Linked DNA regions of Arabidopsis thaliana. The protein of the gene in region 2 interacts with the protein of the main gene of each other region in a pairwise test. Each region holds a gene or a part of one and is shown on either strand. Other genes may lie near its edges.

What was found.
Region 1: the proteins of MYB72 (region 2) and EIL3 interact in a two-hybrid assay, tested with the Arabidopsis thaliana proteins (one study listed by BioGRID).
Region 3: the proteins of MYB72 (region 2) and IAA30 interact in binary tests that used the Arabidopsis thaliana proteins (3 or more experiments, as listed by UniProt).

The regions. Positions count from the first base shown.
Region 1 is NC_003070.9:27,728,620-27,735,441, forward strand, and holds EIL3 (ETHYLENE-INSENSITIVE3-like 3), read right to left. Parts: upstream 4,065-6,822; 5' UTR 3,745-4,064; coding exon 3,710-3,744; intron 3,655-3,709; exon of another isoform or gene 3,484-3,654; coding exon 1,815-3,483; 3' UTR 1,784-1,814; intron 1,693-1,783; 3' UTR 1,412-1,692; downstream 1-1,411. Other genes in the region: SMU1 (transducin family protein / WD-40 repeat family protein), read left to right, coding at 1-5, 104-163, 262-369, 464-564, 707-758, 1,005-1,103; AT1G73740 (UDP-Glycosyltransferase superfamily protein), read left to right, coding at 5,832-6,766. UniProt on the Arabidopsis thaliana protein: Probable transcription factor that may be involved in the ethylene response pathway.
Region 2 is NC_003070.9:21,019,686-21,025,189, reverse strand, and holds MYB72 (myb domain protein 72), read right to left. Parts: upstream 2,807-5,504; coding exon 2,668-2,806; intron 2,583-2,667; coding exon 2,453-2,582; intron 2,432-2,452; exon of another isoform or gene 2,368-2,431; coding exon 1,746-2,367; 3' UTR 1,603-1,745; downstream 1-1,602. Other genes in the region: NF-YC2 (nuclear factor Y, subunit C2), read right to left, coding at 1-72. UniProt on the Arabidopsis thaliana protein: Involved in metal ions homeostasis, including iron ions (Fe) acquisition, via the regulation of NAS4 and NAS2 genes expression. Necessary for plant survival in alkaline soil where iron availability is greatly restricted.
Region 3 is NC_003074.8:22,992,739-22,998,220, forward strand, and holds IAA30 (indole-3-acetic acid inducible 30), read left to right. Parts: upstream 1-2,947; 5' UTR 2,948-3,096; coding exon 3,097-3,463; intron 3,464-3,593; coding exon 3,594-3,690; coding exon of another isoform or gene 3,691-3,694; exon of another isoform or gene 3,695-3,800; coding exon 3,801-3,855; 3' UTR 3,856-4,071; downstream 4,072-5,482. Other genes in the region: AT3G62110 (Pectin lyase-like superfamily protein), read right to left, coding at 4,575-5,287, 5,367-5,437. UniProt on the Arabidopsis thaliana protein: Aux/IAA proteins are short-lived transcriptional factors that function as repressors of early auxin response genes at low auxin concentrations.

The DNA.
Region 1 (6,822 bases), 6.7 Mb from region 2:
TAAAGGTAAATTCTTCGGCTTTGGCTGTCAGCAGTATCATTGTTTCTCATTTGGACTCTCTGCCCCTTCTGCCGTGTAATAACAGTCTTGTTTCCTTGCACAGGTCTGGGATTCTAAGACGACAGATTGTCTACAAACATTCAAGCCGCCACCTCCGTTAAGGGTATCTTTTCTTATACAGATTTATGTACATCTTGTAATACTTTTTCTGATCTTCTGTGGCAAACTCTTTGGTTACCAAGTCTGAATTTTGAAATATAGGGAACTGATGCATCAGTCAACTCTATTCACTTGTTCCCCAAAAACACAGAACACATTGTTGTGTGCAACAAGACATCATCTATATACATTATGACACTCCAAGGACAGGTAAATTTCCAGCAACGGTCTCCTGCAAATCAGTGTCATTGTCATGCCAAAACTAAGATTGTTCACATGCTTCTATATTGGAATCCTTTTGCAGGTTGTGAAGAGTTTCTCATCCGGTAATAGGGAAGGAGGAGATTTTGTAGCAGCATGTGTATCTACAAAAGGAGATTGGATATACTGCATCGGCGAAGACAAGTAACACTCTAACCTCCTATATCTATCGTTTTATTTTTGGATAAGTTCCACGAGTTTGATTTCAAAGGATAATCTTATGGTTCCTTTCTTTTCGGGTTTCATCTTCTGCCTTTGATGTTCGTAATGGTGTTTGCACCTACAGGAAACTGTACTGCTTCAACTATCAATCTGGTGGACTTGAGCATTTCATGATGGTAAGTTTATATCCGTAACAGACATGCTCCAAAAGATTTTGGATGTTGGAAATTTGAAAGTTGCATTTGAGACAAACACATAACAGTAACTCACTAGAGTAATGAAGTCCCTTGTGTGTTATAATGTTTGATTCATCTGTTCTCCATTTTAGAGCTCAGATTATCATCCTCTCTCTCTCTCTCTTAATACTTATCTTAGTTGTCTTTTATTAGACCTGGTTTCTGAATAGTTTATGCTTATGACAGGTGCATGAGAAGGATGTGATTGGTATAACACACCACCCGCATAGAAACCTCCTTGCTACCTATAGTGAAGATTGCACTATGAAGTTATGGAAGCCCTGAGTTTTCTCATCATCAAGTCTTGTTTTCTGTATGATTAGTCTGTCTTTATTTGATTTGCACTCTTCTCGGGTTAGAACTAGTGTAATGTGAAACCATCTTTGCAAAGATCTCAGCCATTTTGGGAACACTACCCACAGACTCTAAAACCAGCATTTCAGATTTTAAGACCGTTTCACCTGGCCTTGAGCCTTGTAGTAGTTTATTTAACAACGTGTCTCCTTCCTCTTTGACCTTCCCAGCCAGTCAACTCCCATATACTTTTTAGTCTTAGGAAAGAATAAAGTCAAGCTCAAAAATATATAAAAAAAAATGAAAACTTGGGAAGTTCAAAAGAAACAAATAATGATTCTCTTAACTTGATGAATTACTCACAGGTAAATTTACAAATGATGATACGCTAACTGCTTTCCCTAGAGACCATTACAACGGGCAAAGCAGTTCTTCTGGCAACTTATTCAAAAGGAAAATTGTTTCTCTTAACAAATCTAAGAAAATATTATAAGAAAAAAAGAGGAAGAATATAAGATCAGAAGAAATGAAGAAGAGAAAGTAACTGTACTAGCCAGACTATTGCCATGTCCTTTTGAACCTACAAAAATAACAGTAAAACAAAATACATCAAATCTATAAACTAAGATCAAATATATGAGATGGTGTTGTGTAATAAAAAAAAAACTTACTATGTAATCTCCCAAAAAAAATGGCAAGACACTAAGCTCCAAACCATGAGAAATCATCACCAAAACCACCATAGTCAAAGTCCAAGTCAGTCAATGGAGACAGAATGCCACTCTGATACTGAGGCAACTCACTCCCTGTTACACCGTCTTCATTTCCGAGTAAACCAAGGGGTTGAAGTACTCCTCCTGGGGCCTCCTCGAACCCACTGTTGTGAGGTGGTGCTTGTGTATTCATTTCTATCTGTGTATGGAGAATGTCGTCTTCCTGGTTATGTACAAACACTGCAGAGGGATTGTAGAAGTTGTACCCTGACCCAAATTGAAGCTCTTGGTTAGGGTTTGGTCCATAAAGCATTGGCCTTTCGTCTACAGGCATCATAGTTTGTTCATTAACAAGTGGAAGATAAGTATAGTTGTTATTGAACTCAGGAACCACTAGTTCCAGACCATTATCCTCTGGTCCTAAGGCAATATTTGGGTCGACAACATCGTCCTCTTGATGAGTACCGTTGATGTTATATTCTAGCAGAGGGGCATCAACATGATTCATATCAGGTAAGATGTTTCTTTGTTGAGCTTCAGGTTGTTCTTCCTCTTGTCGATTGACAGTTCCGGATCTAATTCGAGGTCTTTTCCTTCTGCGATGTTTCTCTGCTTTATCTTGATCTCTTACTGAATGTGAGATGGCTGTTGGTTGTTCTTTTTGAATCTGATTTCTTCTACTGTCTTTAGATGAAACTGAACCTGAAGCTTCCTCTGTCCCATCAACATCATAGTCACTGTCACTGTTGACCACAGGTTTCCTCCTGTCAGCGTTATTACCCCTACGATGTGTCTCAGTCACATTGGAGTTTCCATTGTCACTGCTAGGCTGCTGAATCAAAGATTCCTCTTGGTTCAAAACCGCCAACCAAATCGCACTCTCTTTAGCTGTCATCTTGTCCTGTAAACATTTCGACTGACGAACATGCCTCTTAATCTTTGCAATATCAGGTAACATATGATTGATCACTGCCGTTAAAACTCCAACCTTCCACATCTTCTTGAGATCATGAGGTTTTCGGTAAGGAGGACTCTGGCTTTTAGGCAGACCGAGTTTCACCCACCATTCTTCATTCCCCGTTGGCCACCAAGGCGGAGGCGTCCCTTTCTCCAACGGATACTTCCTTTGAGGAGGATCACAATGTTGCATCAAAGAAGATAACAAAGACCCTAAAGTAGCATCTTGCAAATCCTGGAGAACAAACTGTGAATTCCTATTCCCATCAGATTTCCCAAACGCTAAACACTCCTCTTCGTATTTAGCAATAGCAGCAGGACCGTTCTTATCAAACTTCACTTTCTCTTTCCACCAAGCTCTTATATTGTCAGAGGAACCACTCACAGGCTTGCCCTTTTCCGGTATTATACCATAGACAAACCCGCGAACTTTGCAGACTTCCATAAGCTTCAACATGTACTTAAGGATACCATCTTGAGCTCTAGACATTTTCTTCCTCTGAGCTTGATCAGAGATTTTCTTAGGTGTCTCCTTCGTTTGAGCTCCTTGAGAGCCAGCTTTTTGTCGCTCTTTGATTCTTTTAAGCCTGACACGATCTTTCCACATCCGTCTCTCAAGGTCGTCAGCATCAATCTCTTCATCACTCACATCAATCTCAGCAACATTATCACTAGCTAAATCATCAGGCTCATTCTCCATCCTATCCACAATAAGCAAACTCTCAAAAATTAACAGCTTTCTAAAGTTTTTGATTTGATAAACAAAACAAAATCCATATATATCATTATCTTATGTTGTCAATACAGAGGAAAACCCAAGTATTCATTGATTCATCAGCTGATTGAGATTGAACTAATGATTCATATAAACCCTAAATTCACAAGCATGAAAGGGAAATTAATGAAATTGAATCAAATGTTCTTCACCTGATGTCTGCTACGGACATAGCAAGATCGCCCATTTAAACAAAATCAATCAAAAACCTTTAACAACGATAATCTGAAGCGCCGAAATTAAAGAAATTTAGGGTTTTTATTCTTTCTCCTGTCGTTCTCAGGGGAAGAAGAGAGTAAAAAATGGCTGCGAATTGTGGAGAGGCAAAGTTTTGATTTAGTCGGACCAAAGCCAAAGTATTGTTGTGGCAATAACCCAACCCCCAAAGGCCAAATTTTTTTTTTTTTTTTTGTTGTTGCAAAAACCAAGTTGTTTTCTTCGGTTTCTGTTTTTTTTTTTCTTTAATGTAAAAAAATATTTTGTTACTTTATATCTGTTGTCGAGTCAATCTCTCTTTCTGTCTCTCGTTTTTTTTTTCTCAACACGGATTTTTATTGGCTCAACAAATAGAATAATAGTATTTATTTTGAGTAATTAGTTACGAGGAATACCAATGAAGTTTATTGTATTTAACTGTCCGGATTAGTAAAAAAAACTCAATTTTGCCATTAACCTATTCTTTTCCCCATAAATTAAAGTCTTTTGGGTTTTAATTTGGCTTTAAATAAAAAGCACATTTTCTTAACTTTTTTGGGTTTAAAATTTGCATAATGCTAAATGCTAACGTATACCACTCAATAGCAAATTGTTGTCCTACATAGTGCTAAATGCTATAACTCAAGCAAACTGTTCATCAAGTCACTTGACTTCTATCAAAACATGATGCATATGGCAGATAGCACATAGGTAAACATAATTAAAATTATTTTGAATAAATTTCTATTCTAAACTTTTAATTAGACACACATTTATATTTTTGTAATGTTTTTTATGTTTATTTTACAAACACACTATTCATTTTGAATGTTTTAATCCAATTATTGTAAGCAATCTCAAAACAAGAATAGTTTCATGCTCATTAAGAGATTAAGAGAAATATAAAGATAAAATTTGATAGCTCATGAATGAGTTTTATTGTCCAAGGAAAGAAAAGAACTTTAGATTGTCACCAAAATTAGTAAGACTTTGATGCAATCATAAAATGGGAAAAAAAGGAGAGTAGCCTCTTTGACAACTCTCTGAGTTAATCACATTAATTCACACTATAAATATAAGAGATTACTTGTTTAGATAACCTAATTACATGGGCTTCTAGACAATGATAAGCCTTTGAACTATAAACCATATGAATTAAACCTTTTTTATGGACCCTCTAATAATTATTACGTTCAACTTTACTCATTTATCCTAGTCATTTTCCACATCCGATCCAACTTAAAAATAATGGTATCATTTTTCTGAACCACCAGTGTATAAAGGAGAAGGAAAAAAAGTTAACTGATGAATTAGAAAGTTGCAGCATCATTGGGACCAGTTTTGCATTTACGGCCAAGAGCTACCCACACGACCACCACTACGATTTTCATGTACTGCTAGTATTGATTTATTAGTAGTTTAATACAGCTCATTTAGTCACTTGTTAAAAAATATTATACTAATCTTAGTATGTTAATCTACACTTAACGTGCCTTCAATACAATAAAAAGAATATAATTGGATACCAAAAATTAGAGAAATGGACCCAGTGGCTATTAACTTCTCACACTGGAGAGAGAGTGACATCAAACTACAAACCAATTTTATTTTATTTTTTTTCCAAAACGGAACTGAAAGTTGTTTGAAAATCCCTCATTGGCTCTTCTTCTACATTTATATTTCTTTTACTATACAATATCTTAGCTCTCTGATACAACTATTAAATGCTTAATATATGAATAATACGTGGTTTAGAGTAACTAACAAACGTAAATAAAATAACAATATTTCTCCCTACTCGTGGCAACATAAGCTGAACAGAGCCAAGTACAAACAAGTTGACTTTCTGCTACAAACTTTGACTATCCCGACAAGAAAAAACCTTAAGATTGATCAGGAAGGATCTCATCGGTTCTTCTATCTTGTCTCTGACCATTCTTCTTCTTCTTCTTCTCAACAACACTTCTGATAATTTAACATTGCATCTCCTACTCATTCTCATCGTCTTCGTCTTCAATCTTCTACACGAATGTCGCAGTGAAATTTTTTGACTCTTTCAGCTTCTTCTCGCCATCTCTAATGGCGATCCCTTCCTTCCTCTCTCCAAATTTACACTTTTACCCTTCTACCAAACTCGTTCCGAGTCGACTCACTCTTTCCTCATCCTCCTTCGTTTGTTGTTTATCAGTAGACCGCCAAATTAACCATTCCTCCGTCTCCAACGAAACCTCCGGCTTACGAGTTGTCATATCCGCCGGAGGCACCGCCGGACACATCTCTTCAGCCTTAGCGATCGGAGACGAGCTAAAATCAGCCGACCCACTTGCTCGAATCCTCTTCATCGGATTCCCAAACAGTATGGAGAGCACGACGGTTCCATCCGCCGGATTCGATTTCTCAACAATCTCCACCGTCGGATCATCATCGTCCCGACCATTCCTCTGTTTCACCTCTTTCCTCAAATTCCCTCTCCGCTTGATCCAATCCACCTTCGAATCCTACAAAATCCTCCGCGAACTAAAACCACAAATCGTCATCGGCACCGGAGGACACGCCTCTTTTCCGGTCTGTTTCGCCGCCGTGATCTCAAGAACTAAATTCGTAATCCAAGAACAAGATTCAATCCCTGGAACCACTAACTGGATTCTGTCTTTCTTCGCCGATACAATCTTCGCTCCTTTCAACTGTACAGTCACTAACCTCCCCAAACGAGTCGCCGCGAAGTGTGTCGTCTACGGGAACCCGATAAGACAAACGCTTAGACGATACTCGTCGAAAGGAGCGGCGCGTGTGAGCTTCTTCGGACAGTGGGCTGGAGCTGTGTCGGAACCGAAAGTTGTGCTTTTGCTTGGTGGGTCTTTAGGAGCCAATGCCATTAACATAGCTTTGCTTAACTGTTACTCGCAGTTGTTGTCTGAACATGAGAACTGGTTCTTTGTTTGGCAAACTGGTGTTGAAGCTTTTGATGAAATGGATAGTCTTGTTAGAAGTCATCCTCGTCTCTTTCTATCTCCGTGAGTTATACAACAACATTTTTAACTGTTTAGCTGCTTTTGTATTGACTAATAAC
Region 2 (5,504 bases):
ATAAGCATGAGGAGGTACATAATCCATCACTCCCTGTTGCTGTTGCTGTTGACCCTCTTCTGACTGCTCCATTGCTAAGCTATCTCTGTTAATATAAAATTGTAGATTGACAGTTAATCCAAAGTTAAGGGATTTAGAACCAAAGTCTAAAAAAAATCAGAAAAAAAGAAGCGCATGCATGCTCGAATTAAGCTCAGATATGCTGGTTTCAAATCCGGATTTGGGAGTCACGACCCAAGCAGAGCACGATTCACAACATGGACCAAAGATGATAACTTTTGATCCTTTACTACGGTTTTGTCAAAGCTAAAGGATCAAAGAAGTGAAGAAAACGAAATTGGAGAGAGAAGTTTCCAATAGAAACAGAAAATGGAAGAAGAAACACAGACATACCAGTGAGAGTGAGATCTCGCGAAACCCTAAGATAAATGGGTTTGGGGCGGGTTAGCTTTTTATCAAGCGTTTCTGGTGGTGCGTATCTTCCGCCTAGTTGACACGTGTCGAAAAAGCGGGAGTTTTTACGTTACTTCCACCTGTATGCTTTTCATTGGTTATGTTGTGTTATTCCAGAAATTTCTTTATCGGACGGTTTCGAAGAATAACGAAGAACACGTGAAGTGCGCGTGAACAAAAGTCACGTGACATTTGCAACGTCGCGCAAACTTATTTTCGAAGAAGCCCATTGGACCTTGTGGGCTGTAAATCACCCGGGCCGGATCAAAACTTGACCCTAATTGTCAACAGAGTAAAGGGAAACGGGAAGCAGAGGAAAGGAAACCATCGAAAGAAGTTGCAGAGGCAAAGGATCCATCTTTGCTATCGCCACTCTTCTTTGGGGTTCGAAAGAGCCAGACTTTGTTTAATTATGCCGATAATTATGTGCAGAGTCGTCGCTAGTTTTGTTCTGTAAGGAGCAGAACAGTCTCCTCCATCCCTCTATGTGAAGTCCACAATTGCTCCACTTTTCAGAAGCCAAGGTATCTTCTTACTGCTAATGTATTTACCATACGTGTTTAACTTACACAAGCTCTCTTCTTTGTGTTTTAATCTGTAAGAGATTGGTGTAGTTGTCGGATTTCTGTTAATCATTGCGTGCTCGGAGCTGTGAAATTTGTAGTTTTTGTGATTCTAGTGTGATATGTGATGATCCCAAACAGGTCATGTGCTTTAATAAACGGTTGGAGCAAGAATCAAAAGTTTGTGTATTCTTTGTAGTATTTGTTCTGTTTTTTTCTTTTCTTTTCTTCTTCTGTTTGGTCTCACTGAGACCGTCTCAGTCTCTCAAATATGTATGGACTTAGGATAATTCAGAAGCTTTTGACATTGAAGCCCTTACAGGAAGCAAATATCAAGTGATTGAAATGATGAGTACAGTTGGAGTCATATTTCTTGTTGTTTGTATCTAGGCTAAGAAACTTACACACACCTAATTCGATTTCAGGACTTGATGCTTGGTGTGGCGCCTGATCTCGACACACCGGAAGCAGTCGATGCTGCCATTGCCAGCCATCAACCTGCGACCTGTTTTGGCCTCTGAAAACGGAGACTCTGAGAGCAGCCATAAGAGTGATCGAGAAGGAAAAGAGAAGAGTTGTTTGTGTGAATCTAGCCGAAAAACGAACCAATATCATAGAGCTCTCATAAAACATAGCATCTTCTCAATGCATGGGCAATCCATGTAAAATAGTAATTTACTCAACATTCAAAAGTGGATACAACACTGGTCATGCATATATTATTGACATTCATAGACATACTTCTCCGACGAAATTAAAATCATCAAAGTAAGTTTGGTTGTCAATGAAGTTGAACCACTCGTCGTACTCATTGTTAGGTGTGGTTGATTCAACCAGCTGTCTCCTCAAGTCGGATTCTTCGTTTGTGTCTTCAAATCCGCATGGGATATCCGGTTGAGGATGATCAAATGATTGCGATTTGGTTACCTCTCGAGTCATTTCTTGGGTTGAAATGTGAGTTTGGTGGTTATGAAGAAGAGAGTCTAGCGGAAATAAGATATCGTTATCCTGAAGAAACTCAGAGGTTATATCATCAAAGTCATCATGGTCGAGCAGGAACTGGATCTCGTTGAGTCCATTAACCTCATGAAGCTCTGGTTTTGTGTGCATACACTCGCCTTGGTGATGTGACGAAGTAGCTGAGTTTTGGCTCTCATTTAACCCTGAATGTATTTCTTCTTGAGCCCCGTCACAGTTCTTGTCATGATCTGCTTTTGTGCTTTGGTCATGAGTGCTAGAGAGGGATGAAGAAGAAGAAGATGGAGTGAGTCGTTTCTTGAGATGCGTGTTCCACACGTTTTTGATCTCGTTGTCAGTTCTTCCCGGCAAGAAGGACGCGATCTTTGACCACCTGATGATCACATATATCAATTAGTCTCTACATACTATATATTGTCTTATTATAAAGAAATTAGATGAATAGGTAGAGTACAAACTTGTTTCCAAGGGTTTGATGGTAGTGAATGATAGCATCTTCCTCCTTTTTGCTAAAGTTGCCTCGCTTCACGTCCGGTCTCAGATAGTTTATCCATCTTAGTCGGCAACTTTTCCCACATCTCAACAATCCTATGTATATATATCAATCATTATTTCTCTTAGTTATTTAAAACTTTATAGTATTACCGAAACATGCATGTGAATAAATACTAACCAGCAAGCTTGGGAAGAGATCTCCAGTTTTGATGGCCATGTTTTTGAATAAAAGTGATGAGAGTGAGATCTTCTTGAGGGCTCCATGGCCCTCTCTTCACTTTGTTCTTGTCGCAGCATGGTGCTCTTCCTTTCCCCATTCTTATTACACTACTTTCTTCTCTATAGCTACCTTCACTATATCTTTCTCTATATATGCAATGTTATGTTTTTGATTATTATCAGGAGCTCCTATATATATATCATTGATATAACCCGGCTCTTTACGTCAGAAGATGTTTTATAATTATTAGTTAGAGATTAGATTTTCCACTCCATTCAATAAAACTCTTATTTATTTGAGGCACTTCACTCGTAGAGAGAGACCCAAAAGCATGGAACGTACGGAAGTTAACGGCAGATTTTAACTAGTAATCTCTTAAATTTCTTTTGTTACTCATATGCCCGTGTACAGATCATAGTGTCCATTAAGTATAATTGTGTAAACAAGTTATGCATGATTCATTGACGAGTTACGAAAAATATGTATATTAATTTGAGCATCACGGAAATATTTAAATAGTTTGATACATTTCTTGATTATTCAGTTTTAAATATTTTATACAAAAAGATTTTCGACTTTAGATTTTGATATGAGCGAGTAGAAATCTAGTATATTGTAAACTTTAGAGCGGTTGTTTGTGTGCGTGTGTGTTAAAGACCACAAGGGCCATGCCACAAACAAAAGTAACACCAATTGGAGAAATAAATAGAATAAATCTGTAGACTGTAATCCTAATTAATTCAGATCAGTTTATTTTTTATTAATCCTGACACTTATTATTTGACATTTAGTTCAGAAGGAGAATTCAATAATCCTTTTCTTTAGCCTATTAACTTATTTACTCGTCTTCGTATTTCTTATAAAACTCAACCCACATCATCATCATCATCATCTAAGTTTACTCTTATTTACTCCTTTTATTTACTTCTTAATCACTTTGTATCTAATGTTTAAGGTTTTTACGCATAAATTAAGAAAACACAAGACATTCATTTAATTTATCTCTTTTACATAAAAACATCATTAAGTTCAGTTTTCAGACAATAACAAAAACATGATGTAAAACATAATTAGCCAAAAAAATTAAGATATTAACAAATTGAAAACATCACTTATAATGAATCAAGAACAAAATACCCTTAAAACATCACTTAAATTGATGTGGAGGGAATATTATTTACTTTTTTTTGCTATGAAGTTTTAATACAAAGAATAATGAAAGTTCACATTTCTATTAGTAATTAGAGAATACTGGTATATATAGACATTGCGTTTTAAACTGAACATAAATGACTTATCTTTAAAACACCACTTCATAAAATTTCAAAATATTTATATCTAACGTATAAATGACTTCATAAATGACTTATCTTTAAAACACCACTTCAGAACGCAAAGTTCCTTATTTGAAAGAGAAAAATAAAATAAAAGTTTAAACACGAAGTTGTACATCCAAATCATGATGTATGATGATTAATTTTGTAGTTGTTTAGACTATAAGTTGTGATGATTAAATTATATATTGGTGTTTTCCATAAATTAAAATATGGCATGGCATGGTTAGACTTCAAATCCACGCCACAAGGCTCTGATGTAAGATTGCGCAAAAAAACTAATGATCATTCCATCCGTATAATACATATGCTATCTACTTTATATAAATACGTAAGTATGCAATTTTATATAGGTTTAATGCATGATGTACAAAAACATGAATACATAATACATGAATACCTTTTAGCATACGTTAGGCAAGCAAGAGTCTCGTAACTCTTACCTTTTAGTGAGGTTAAATGTAATATGAGGTAATCTAAAGTGCTAATAAAATGTGTGGAAGTACGAATAATATCCATGCTTCCATTCCCAACTTCCAATCAAAATCAGCATACGTACTTCTTTTGTACGTACGTATACGGATATATATTATAAACACATTAGGGTCCTATATATATATATATAATATCTTATACATACATATGAAATAAATATCGATAAAAGAGATTGGACATAAGGTAAAGTTTTAAAACGTGACGTAGCATGTGTGGGTCTAAGTAAAAACTTGTAATGATTGGCAATCACATTATATATGTATCACATACGTCTAGATATATACAATAGAAATAGTTTGTTTATTTGAAGTGGTCAACTTGTATGACTTAATTCACATTAAAAAGTAAACAAAACAAAAAGGAAATTAAGAGCTTGTGAGTCACTGTATGTTTAGCACTTCTTCCTCGCGACGTCGTGTTACTTGTGCAATTCTACGTGTGCCTGACTTCAACTCTACACGTGTTTTGACAATGGATAATTTTGTCCGTACGTAAAATATCGTCCACCAACTTTATTGTAATTATGAATTTATGAAAAGTAGAATAATGGAGAATGAAAGTCATTAGATTCTCGAGATTAAGATTAATCTAAATGCCGTTCTGGATATATGCACTGTGATTTTTAAGAAAATCTGTTATTTTTCAACCTTTAAAACAATCAGTTGGTAATTTAGCATGAGAATAAAAGGATAAAGAGTTATCATCCTCACATTCAACTCAAATCACAGAATAAGGAAGTGCTTTTCGAAAGAAAAGATTTGGATGACCCGAAAGCTGGACAACCAATATGGAAAACGATTTCGTATTATTAGCATGACTTCTATAATTATAGTTATGGCAGGTTCTGGCTTGGTTCTTAAGGAACCGAGCACTAGCTAGTTGCTTACACATGTTCAGAAATAGTCGTCTGTAATAGCATCTTTATGATAGTCTTGAGGTTGGATATGGTAGTGTGAAAGAATTGGT
Region 3 (5,482 bases), on a different chromosome or scaffold from region 2:
AGATTAGAAGGTGAATCACTGCATTTTATGGTTTGGTTTATGATAAAGACGGTTTTTTAATTTTTAAACCGCTATGTTTTTTGTTGGTTGGTTTCGAAGCCAAAAATATATCAGAGTGGTGGTCAAAAACCTCTAATTTTGAAGATATAATAATTGGTTTATGTCAAAAAGAGATATAATAATTGGTCTTGCATGTTGGTATGGTCAACTTTGTGACTAAAAAAAAGAAAGAGCCTAAAACGAGAAAATGGAATGAGTTGGCCAACAAGAGAGGCTACAAAAGAGTCACGAGACATGCAATCATCCGGATTTGAAGCCAGCCCATGTTTTTACTGACAAGCAAACACATTGCAGTAAAGTCGAGTTATCATAATTTATGATAAACATAAAGTAAATTATGAGTAGTATTTTTTTTCTTTCAAAAAGAAGCAAAACTCTCTTACAACTTAATGATTTGTAAAAGGACGAGACATTATCATTAAATCTTGAAACTAAAAAACTATGAGTGCCTTGAAAATCTGAGAATCACTGTTTTTCTTTTGAATTTCATTTCTATGTACATATGGTGAAATCTCAATTCTCCAATTTTCTTTTAGTATTGTTTTTATACTTTCACAAATAGGATTTAATTTACTTAGAATTGACTCTATTTTTTTCTTGTTTTTACTATCTATGTTCGCTTTCCAGAATTTTATACGTTATTCAAAGAAAATACTTGACCAAATACATGTAATAACATATTGGTTATCTAGAAACAAAAGACGAGTACAAGATACAAAAAAAAAAAACAAAGGGGACAAAGAATGGTGTGGAGAAAAAAGTTTGAAGAAGAAAGAAAAAAAAGTGAGGAAATTGTGATGATAATGGTAGGGGTGGTGGGGAACATATCTCTTCTTTATCAGTTTCCCTTTTTTTTTTTCTCTCTCAAAAATCATGTTTGGAGTTTCTTTTGGTTCAAGCTAAATCTTTTTCTCTTCTTCTTTCTAATAGTATCTATTTGTTTCTTCAAACCAAACGATATCTACGCAATACATGTCGGTTATTGTGATAACGACATTGTTTGGATGTTTCGGGTTCAAAAGATTTGTATGAATGTGTATACTATATATGTTTTTGGCTCAATGATAAAGACACTTGATAAGAGATTCAGGATCGTTTCAAATTATTTTAAAAAACTATATATAATATGAAAAACACTTTAATACTTAAGAATACTATTTGTAATCCGTAAAACTTTAAGTTCTAAAACCATTAATTAAAAATAAGAAACAAGTTACGTTGTACATATAAACTAAAAGACGGAATGGAATATGATTTGATTGTAAAAATAACTTTGGACAAAATCTTCCAATTATAAAAGAGAGAACAAAGAGTTCTAATCATATTGATTGGTAGGTCATGAAGAAGCTTAAGGAGTGATTGTAGAAGAGTGGAAGTGGAGGCGACAAAGTGAGGAGACACGTGGAAAAAGGCACGTGACGTGGGGAACGTGAAATGTTGTCGATAGTGTTTACTGTCTCGTGCTTGCAAAACTATATGTATGTTTTGGAGTGTGAGAATTGTGACGTATCCTCAGTCCTTAGTCCATAGGCGAAGCATCTCTCATTAGCTCCTCTCTTTAAGGTTACGCATTCATTACTCATGCTTCCCTTCTCTCATTTTCTTTCTTTTTCTATATTCCCCTCTATTTGTTTCTTCGCTTCTAATTTATTACATGTAACGTACAAAACCAAGAAGCATGCACTTTTTTCTGGTGACCAAAGTTTAATATATCAACCGAATTGACTATACCACATACATGTTTCTATCTAAATCCAATGAATATTACACAAATAGAATCTTGGTGTGCCAACCAAAGAGAAGCATTTATTAAAGTCACTATTTTGAATACTAACGACGGATAAGACTAAGATCACCAATATGATGTGTTTTGGTCTCTGCCATGAAAAGATACAGAAATTCTGATTAAGATTTGTGGGAGATTAGCACCACTTGATTCACTTTGATTGCTACACATAAAAGGTTGGTAAATTGGTTTAGTATTGGAAAAATATAGTAGTGGTTGGACTTGACTATAGATGCTTCATGATAAGATAAATTAAAAGGAACAATCAAATTAGTAGAGGAGTGTAATTACTAACAGCGACGTGGATTAAAATCATGGAAAGCTCAAACTCTTGTCATGCTTAGATACAATGGAGTCCACGTAGACTATTTTCAATATTTTTTGTCATAATTAAAGAACATTATTAGAGAGTTAATGACGTACATGAGACGTGTTTAGCAGTTGATATTCAATTTAAAAAACATTTTGACATACTTTAATGCTAAAACAAAAACATTTTTTTTGCTTAAAGTGTCTCGCGGTTATAAAAAAAACCTTAATTATGGAAGTGTTGTTTGTCGAACCCACGAATGCATCAATGCGCGTCACGATAGTCTCATGCATTGAACTTGATTTTACTAAGACGGATAATGAAGTAAACTATGTATTGTACATTGGTCTACATTTATTTAAGAAAACATGTTCTTATCCGGTTTAGAACTATCTTGTCTACGTTCATATGATTCCTTAAATCTAAGCCTAAACTTTTTAAACTAAATCAGTCACAGTTTCTTATTCATTTATAGTGTTTTAACAAAATAATTCAGTTAATTCTAAAATCCAACCCTAATTATTTTATAAGAAATCAAACAATCTTTTTTCTTTTTTTTTTTGTTAAACGAAAGGTAGTACTAGGAGTCGAGTATATTTACATTGAAACAAACAAAATTTAATTAGAACACACCCAGCAAAAAAATCCGAGCACAAAGTCAAAACCAACACTTTGACCAAGTGTCTGCATGACACGTGTATTTGTCTGCTACATGGACAACATCTTTAACAACACTGTCTCATCATTCCACCATTTTCTTTAATTAAAAAAAAAACATATCAGAAAGACCATTCCAATATTATTACTTCTTCCTTTTAAGCTCTAACAATTAAATAAAAATTTCCATTCTCTATATATAATACACACACGTTCAAATCATTAATCACCTGTTTTAGATAAAATCATAGAGAGAGAGAAATAGTAAAAGAAATAAAAAAAAATGGGAAGAGGGAGAAGCTCATCGTCTTCATCGATAGAGAGCAGCTGCAAAAGCAACCCATTTGGTGTGTCTTCGAGTAATACTCGGAACCTAAGCACGGACCTGAGACTCGGGCTCAGCTTCGGATCATCTTCCGGACAATATTACAACGGTGGAGATAACCATGAATATGATGGAGTCGGTGCGGCAGAGGAAATGATGATCATGGAAGAAGAAGAGCAAAACGAGTGTAATAGTGTCGGAAGCTTCTACGTGAAAGTGAACATGGAAGGAGTTCCTATTGGGAGAAAGATCGATCTTTTATCTCTTAATGGATATCATGATTTGATCACAACTCTCGACTACATGTTCAATGCTTCAATCCTTTGTAAGTATCTACACACACTTAATTACATCTTTGCATGTAGACTTAGTTAATATTTATATTTGTTATACCTCTCTTTGCATGTATATAGTTAAGACCAAAACTAATGGCAATAAAAAAATTGTGAAAATAGGGGCTGAAGAAGAAGATATGTGTAGTGAGAAGAGTCACGTGCTAACGTACGCAGACAAAGAAGGTGACTGGATGATGGTTGGAGATGTTCCTTGGGAGTAAGTTCTTTTTTAATTTTAGTGTATTAAAAATCTCTAGTTAAGTATTTTTTTTGACATAATTATGTAAAAATTCCCTTTAATTAATGGGGACTTAATTGATTATGTAGGATGTTCTTGTCTAGCGTGAGAAGACTAAAGATCTCAAGAGCTTATCACTACTGATTTTCTAAAAGCAAACTTGGAAGAATCTAGGATTGACCAATACAGTCAGTGGTGGTGGGGGAAAAAGTTAGTTTTGTCTGAATGTAAATCACTTGTTCGAGATTTTATTCAAATTTTGTTTCTAGTTTTATTACATTTATAAAAAAATCGGTTGTAACTTGTAATGAAGCTATTTTTTTCAAGAAAAAAAGCTGTAGCTAATGCAGATCCTTTTTGGTTTAGTAGTTATTTTTATGGTTTTAGACATAGATTAGATAATACTAGAAATATGAATTGTTTTGGAACACTGCTGAATTAGGTTCATATTCGTATTCTAGTTTTCACAAAGTTTCAGTTGAGTTACTAGTTTAACCAAATCAAGATCTATTTCATATTTTCATACTATCATTTACTTCTCAATTCAACTATTTTACCGGAATAAACAGTGAAATATAGTTGTTCTAGTTATGGAATCTGAAATTGAAAAATAATTGTCAAAAAATTTCAACAGACTCTGTCGGAGATATTACAATTGTTCCGCTCACCAAAAGCATTAAAGCCCATACAAGGAAAACAAAAACAAAAACTCTTAAGCCACTCTGATTATTTTCCTCACTGCACACAAATTTACACGAAAACAACAAAAGATGAAAGAAAGCATCATTTTTCAAAATCGAAGAGGTTTCTTCAGAATCAAGCAAACTGTGTTTCCCCTTTGATGTTCAAAACTTCACAGTAACTTACCAAGAAAGTAACCATGGTGATCTACTTAAACCACTTGATATCTCCATATTATTTTCCGATAACCCGAAACAATCAGATCCATGTTCCGGGAATATACTCTCTTTCAAAGAATCACAAGTAATTTCCGGCGAAACCCACTGTGAATAACCTCTCACATTCGAGCATTCCCATGGTGATTTCTTCGAATTCTTCTTCACTCTAAGAGTAACATTAAGGAAACATATATTCTTAAACACATCTCCTTCTATACCTTCAAGAAGACCCGCAACACCTATTCCATCGCCATTTACATTCTCAAAGGTGATTTTCTCTATAGCTGGGAGTGCTTTGGGATCGTATTTCTCATCAGGATGTTCACCGTACTTACCGGTGAACCTAATCGCTTTCTTTACATTATCGAGCTTCACGTTCAAGATGTGAACGTTTCTAACATACCCGCCTCTTCCAGCAGAAGTCTTGATTCTGATTCCAGTATTCGAATTGAACAAATGTAAGTCTTTAATGTATATTTCGGATACACCTCCCGACATTTCACTTCCTATTGCTATTCCTGAGCTTGAAGTAGTTTGACCTGTTAACCGATTAATCTTGATCTTGGAGCTCGGTCTTGCGTAGGATATTCCATACTCATCCCATCCGCTTTTTATCGATACCAAATCATCCCCGGTAACTATGTAACAATCCTCTATGCAAACATTAGTTGATGAATCTGCAAACAGAACAATTTCCAAAGATAATAATAAGGTACATATCTTGAATCTACGAGTAAAATTTGCAAGGAAACTCACCTGGATCAACTCCATCTGTATTTGGAGATTCAAGAGGAGCCAAAATTGTGAGATTCTTTACAACAACATCTCTGTTCAGACAAAAACTCCATATCAGAACATTGAAGAGAGAAATT